2 linked regions of the Drosophila melanogaster genome follow. The protein of the gene in region 1 interacts with the protein of each later gene in a pairwise test. Each region holds a gene or a part of one and is shown on either strand. Other genes may lie near its edges. The genes, in order: SkpF and CG9316.

What was found.
Region 2: the proteins of SkpF (region 1) and CG9316 interact in a two-hybrid assay, tested with the Drosophila melanogaster proteins (one large-scale study listed by BioGRID).

What each region holds. Positions count from the first base shown.
Region 1 is NT_033778.4:23,457,538-23,460,730, reverse strand, and holds SkpF (SKP1-related F), read left to right. Parts: upstream 1-1,971; 5' UTR 1,972-2,044; coding exon 2,045-2,560; 3' UTR 2,561-2,666; downstream 2,667-3,193. Other genes in the region: CG43795 (uncharacterized protein), read right to left, coding at 2,866-3,193.
Region 2 is NT_033779.5:20,724,811-20,728,740, reverse strand, and holds the start of CG9316 (uncharacterized protein), read left to right. Parts: upstream 1-2,189; 5' UTR 2,190-2,284; coding exon 2,285-2,879; intron 2,880-2,934; coding exon 2,935-3,635; intron 3,636-3,693; coding exon 3,694-3,744; 3' UTR 3,745-3,769; intron 3,770-3,829; 3' UTR 3,830-3,930. Other genes in the region: CarT (carcinine transporter), read left to right, coding at 1-312, 375-773, 849-1,122.

The sequences.
Region 1 (3,193 bases):
TTCCCTTTTTCCGCTGAAGGAAAAGTTTCCGGCCATCCTTGATTATGTTAACACAAGGAAAACTGATTAATACGGGTCCTGATTAGCCGCCATCCCTCCTGCAATTATGAACCAGTATCTGGGCAATCCATTGGATTTATGGATGTCGAGCTGGATAAATCAAGGAAGTGGAGTTCAGTCCCAGAGGCCACATTCCCCGCTGAACAAATAATGAAAACAAATGCCTGGCATATGACACTAAATGCAATAATGTTGATCCCGTGCCAGATCCGTGGCCGTTTGCAATTTAATTTATTGACAGTGAGTCTTTGACATTTTATTGCTCCCCAGGCCAAGTTACGACATTGTCCGCATTTCCCATTTTTCTCTCCTTTTCCCGCCTTTCCTCGCTATCGACCGACCTTTCCCCTCTGTCACTTAATTTGTCGAGCTGCTAGTCGTTTGGGTTAATTGTTTATTTGTGCGTTTTATTGACAAGCGGCAATCGTTCCTTGGATTCATCAGCTTGTAGTCCTGTCGTCCTTTCTGTGCGGCTTTTAACAAATGAGTTTTTCGTTAACAAATGGCTTTGATTTCCTGGCTCAATCAGCGCACAAAAAGTTGTCATCTAAGCTGGAAAATTATGTCATCGGAATTTGGTGACCATCGACGGTTGGACGATATCCAATGGCCTGTTGCACGAAGCCAGCCACACACCCACGTTGCCCTCGTTTTGGCTCAGAAAAAGTTTGCTTTTTTGCTGATTTCTCTATTGCTATTTGCCACAAAGACACTCAAGAAAAACAGAAGGACATAAATTCCAGGTCTAATGTCTGCACGGAGCACATCCCCATCGGCATTGACACATACGATGCGTGCATGCAGGCAAGGACATTCGTACACTTGGACTTTGGACTTTGGACATTGGAACACACAGGACTTTGGAGTCCGTAACTTTGGTGCTCGGACTTCATACCCAGATATGCGAAATCTGAAGAAACTTTGTGTTTATTGTGCCTGGCTGCTGAACAGAGAGAGAGAGAGCTGCCGAAGAAAAGAAGAGCTCAGAAAACATGGGAGCTGGGCTGGCATGTCCTTGGGATTGTCACTGGGGCGGTTATCCTGATACACGATACACTGCCAAATCGATGATGGAAGCGGAATGGACACGAGTAAACAATGAGCACACACATCAGATTGGTCAGCTTGCTCCGTTTGGCCAGCCTGGACAGCTGGAAATTCCAAGAAAAACCAAATGAATTGCCATCGCTTTGGTTGTCCAGGTAAATCAATGTCCTCCGCCAGCTGGCCTTCCGTTTTGGCCACAAGAATGGTGCAAACTTTTTGCTCGGCACGCCTGCCACGCTAAGTAATTGAACTTTTATCAAAAAATTGCACGCAGCCAGGCGGACGGAAAAATCGAAGGAAAATCGCAGGGAAAGCGATGGTAGTTCTGCCAACTATGGCCAACAAGCGACGAGAGCCACCGCAACAAGAAAAGCACATTATGCTCCTTGTTGACAAAGGACACGGGCCAATCTAGATGAGCAGAAAATGGCGAGTATCTGCTGCAAAGTGAACCCCGAGCAATGAGCGATGGTGAATTGAAAAGGGAAAATGGAGGCCAAATCCCTGGTTTTGTTTTTATTTCCGTATTCGAAATGGGCCCTAAATATTTCATATTTTTCTGTTATAACAAACAGCAATAAATTGTGCTGCAATTGAAATGTCCATTGTGTAGAACATGGTAAATACCATTGTAAGCGGCAATCAACTATTACTTATACAACAATAAATATGTTATGAAACTAAAATTGTGTATTTCTGCCAATATCTAATCGATTTTGCTCGTTATATTGAAATAAAAATGTTGTCTAAATTGTTAATAAATGCTATCTCCATTCCATGGACATTTGTTTGAATTTGATGAATCACCAATTTGTTTCCATTACGAATCTGTTCTGTTTAATTTTTAACTGTCAAGTTGGCACTGACAGATTTTCTTGAAAAGTTGAACTGTACCAGATAACCTTAAAGGAAAACCCTTTGTGGGCGAAAACGGACCATGCCAGTCATCAAATTGCAGTCCTCCGATGGCGAAATTTTCGAGACCGACATCGAGACTGCCAAGTGCTCGAGCACCATTAAGACCCTATTGGAGGATTGTCCAGTGGAAGCGGAGAACGACACTCTTATCCCGCTGCCCAATGTGAACTCGACGATCCTGAAGAAGGTCCTCATTTGGGCCAAGCATCATCGCGAGGACATTGCAGAGGAGAACGAAGAGGAAGCGGCCAAGTCCGTCGCTGTGCAGATCACCCCCTGGGACGCCGAGTTCCTGTCCATGGATCAGGGCACGCTCTTCGAACTCATCTTGGCGGCCAACTACCTGGACATTCCCAATCTGCTGAACGCCGCCTGCATGACGGTGGCCAACATGATTAAAGGCCGCACGACGGAGGAGATTCGCCAGACCTTTCACATAACCAACGATTTCTCGCCCTCCGAGGAGGATTTGATGACGATGGAGTCGGAAGTCCCGCAGGAGGACGAGGCGATAGAGTACGGCGAAATTATATAAATTCGAAGTGAACATTTTCGAAGGATTGATGCCTGTTCCGGATTAGAATGTAACTCGACATCCTTACCTATGCTCACAAAATATCACATAAATATCCTTCATATGTATCTTGACCCTCGAATGACCTTCAGGGAAAGCACACTACTTTCTTGACCGCAATTGTTCAGTACGGATTCCATTTCCATTTCCATTTTCACTTGCATTCGCCAACCGTCTGGCCGAAAACTTTCGATTGGAAAAGTTTGGCATGTGAATATGATGTGGGCTGAGTAACTCGGAAAACTTTGTCCGTGACATCCACTCACCTGGTCAGCATATTGGCGCGATTGACGGCCACCTCGGCCTCCACCCGGAACCTGTCCTGAGCATACCGGTCGACCACGCCCTCGCCCAGATTGAGCGAAGTACCAGCCACGCAGTTGGAGCCCATCAGATGCTGCTGCTCGATATACTGCAGGAACTTGGACACCAGATCGATCTTGCTGTCCCGCGCGTTAATCACGTCGGCGGTAAACTGGTTGGACTCCATGTTGTCGCCGGAATCCTCCTCCACATCGCCAATGACCAGCTGCTTGGTCTTGTCATCGACTTGCGCATCCGGCGGATAGCCGTCGTCCATGGTGACCTCGGAGG
Region 2 (3,930 bases), on another chromosome or scaffold:
GCATCTCAAGCTGGAGGCTCAGATACGACGGGATAAGCTCAAGAAGCAAAAGAAAAAGATGGCCAATGTGGGGCTAGCAGATCTCTGTCGCACCCCCAATATGCGCTTAAAGACCATCCTAATCACGCTGAGTTGGTTTGCCAATGAGACGGTTTATCTGGGACTCAGTTATTACGGACCAGCGCTGGGCACCAATCAGTATGTCAGCTTCTTTCTGTCGGCTGTTGTGGAGCTGCCGAGCTATTTGTGCTGCTGGTACTTCATGGATACCTGGGGCAGAAGATGGCCATTGAGCTTATCAATGATATTGGGGTAGGTGTTTGACCCATCATCTTGTGTTTTTTGTGTAAAATTCGAAGTCCAACATTTTTCAGTGGCGTGGCCTGTGTGATCACTGTAATGTTGCCCGATGATGCCGTGGATGAGACCCTTGTGCTGTATCTAGTATCCAAAGCCTTGCTATCCGCCTCCTTCCTGATCATATACCCCTTTGCCGGGGAACTTTATCCCACTCAGGTTCGGGGTATCGGCATTGGTGCTTCCAGTTATATTGGAGGATTGGGTCTCATTGGCATACCTTTTATTACCTACTTGGGAAAGGACAATCTTAAACTGCCCTTGGTCATCATGGGCTTCCTTTCGATGCTGGGCGGCATGACGGGATTGCGGCTGCCGGAAACACTGCATCATCGCTTGCCGCAGACCATCGAGGAGGGCGAGGAGTTTGGCAAGAACTGGCAGTTCAAAGATTGCTGTAGATGCGCTCAAAAGCCGTGAGTTCAATGTGCATGTGGTGACCAAGGCGGGTATAAAACTAATTTAATATATATTGTGCTTACTTTTTGCAGAGAGATTTTATCTCAACCTGCGTCGTACGAGAACCTGGATGTCCTGGCTGGATCCTCCACCAATGCTTCTGAGGTGGAATTGGAGCTGCGGGACAGTCGACGGGTTCGGGAGCCGGCTCCCCGCATTGACGAGCGTACGCCCCTGGACACAACGGCCAGTGGAAGTGGGCGACCTGTTCATCGGCCCTCGATGAAGCGATTAGTGCGCCAAATGAGCGTCATGGACACCCAGAGGACGCATGATGGCACCATGCAGTTGACTCATTGGATCTAAGATTTGTAGCGACAAATCTAATGTATTGTCACATCTAGAAGAGATTTCTTAAAATTAATTAGATAAACTGCAAGGCTATTCTTTGTTTTCGCTAAAGTTTAAAATGATTGCATATAAACTATTTACTAATCTATTGCTTAACGCTAAGGGATATCTTTTTAAATATAGAACTATGGGCAGAGACTTCTTTAAAAACAAACATACAAATATAATTAATCATAAAAACTTACCATTTTTGCAGCACAATGTTAGCAATTGTCATTGTATGAAAAATAACGAAATTAATGTTTCAACAAGTTACTTAACATATAACAGCACTATTTAATTGCTTACTAATTTATTTATAATTTAAATAATAGTTCTCTAAGTAAACGCTTTTGATTCCGTGTTTTAGAAGTATTTGCTATGAGCAAATAGAGCAGCATACTTTAACTGCTTAAAATTAAATCTATAACAATTTCCTCCTTTAAATACCAGTTTTCTTTTCCTTTTCCATTACTTTTCCATTAATTATAGGGCATTGCCATTATGCCTAAGTTGTTTGCTTTTGTGAATTACAAAAGCTTTGTAAACAAAAACCGAAACTTAATTCTTCAAACATATCCGGTAAAAATAAATAAATAAATAAGTACGTGTAGCGTATATCGTATGGCGACTTCTCAATCACCGGTAATTGATTTATGCATTTATTCAGACAATTATGCAATTAATTGTTGTCAAACAAAAAGAAAACTTGCTCATGCGGTGAATAATAGAGGAATGCGCGAAATTGCCCCCACCTGTCGACCGTAAACTGCTGGCGGTCACTGTCAACCGTAGGAAGTGCCTGGACCCATGGGAATTCATAATGCTGGATCAGATCACAAATATGTTGACACCAAGGAGATCTTGCAAGCAAAAATGTAGTTTCTTAATATTGCTACTTAAGTTCAGTACGCAGTTCCAAATCCAAAGATTCGTTAAGATGGTCCTTTGTCCTAGTCTTTTTCCCTATAGATCTCTGGAGTATTTAGATTTGGATCTTGAATTACGGTATCAGGACTCTAATATTTACCCGGTTACACAAGGTCGAGCTTGATTTTCCCTTATTTCCTATCATAACATCTGGGCAGTGTCAAAAATGAATTAATCTAAATTTACGTACAAGCAAATAATCCAAAAAATGCCTAAGGCGAAAACGCATTCGAGATCAGTGAAGACTCCATTCCCAGTTCGCTCCAATCGCCCGGGTGGAGTCCAAAAAAGTGAGCCATCGCCATCGCCATCGCCATTATGCAGGACCAGTCTGCTTGATCTGCCGGAGGACATCATCCGACTGGTTCTCGAGTTTCTGCCCAGGATTACCGATAAGGTTCTGCTGGCCTGTGTGGCGCCCAAGTTCCGAGCGGCCTTCGAGGGCTGGGCGAGAGTGCAACGAAATGCTTTGGACATGGTTAGTCTGGAGACGGTGCCTCTGCCGCAATTGATCAGGTTCTTCAAGGTGGCGGGACCCTTCATCAGAGTCCTTCAAGTGGACTGTGCGTCCTACCAAAAGGAGTCCCTGCTGGTGGAGTTCGTAAAGGAATACTGCCCCAATCTGGAGGAGATTAGTTACTCGAACGCCACCGATGAGTTTCACTACCGATCGATTATGTCCAAAATGACGCACTTGAAACGGGTGACTATTGAGTGTTTGGATGCAGAGGATGTGCTCAACTTTGATATGCAGCCCAACCAGGAGCTGGAGTTTTTTGAACTGGTTAATGGTTGCTATACAGGTAGGTATGCACTGCACTCTATTTATGCGTTTGCGGGACTTTATTTTCGCAACAGGCCAAAATCTCTGCGGTTTTCCCAATCTCAAAACTTTGGTCCTTCGAGACTGTCTGCTATGGAACTCGATGGAGTTTGGAATTCCGCTTAAGTCGTTGCACACTTTGGATCTCGACGACTGTTGTTTCGAGGTTATGAATGTGAGCTTGTACCAGAAAATCGCCGAGAGCTGCACGAACTTGGTGGAACTGATCTTCTCCGGCTGCGACACCAACTTCGAGGTAATCGCCAACCTGCCCAAGCTGGAGCGCTGTACACTGAAAACCTGGATGACCTCCAACGAGCTGAATATTGGGTTCCTTACGGTTCTGGCAGAGAAACGAGGAAACAAGCTCACCCATCTGCACCTATCCGGTCAGTTCAATATCACCAATGAGCACGCCAGGTGCCTGGGACAGTTGAGTAGCCTCACGGATCTGCGGTTCAGCAACAACGATATCCTGGACGACGATCACTTCAAGTTCTTCAACGATCTCAGCCAGCTGGAGCGATTTGGTCTGACCGCGTGCGGTCGGGTGATGGACGTGGGGATGATGAGGATGTTGCGGAAGTGTCCCCAGTTGAAAGTTATTGATTTGACCGATTGCGAGCAGATCACCGAGGAGTTTGTGATCCAGGCCATTGGATTCTGCTCGAAGGGATCAGGTCGTGATGTGGTGCTCAATGTAAAGGGAACCATGATCAGGCGGCCTATATTGACGGTGGGAAAACCGGGGCGGGAGTTTCGAAAGCATATACTAACACTTTCATATTTTGCAGCATCCGGATTACGTGAATTCCTTGAATCGTCTAAAGGTTAATTTTATTTAAAACGACACCACTCGAATGGAAAATGGTAAGAAAATAAATGTCTATGAATTGTTGCAATAATTTGATCAAATTTTGTGTTGCCAAGGAATCATTTCTTATTGAACATCAAATATCAAGAGAGACACTGCCCAAAACCAATCAAATTTGATTTCTATTAATAAAAATCAGTTTAAAAGGAGTGCAAGT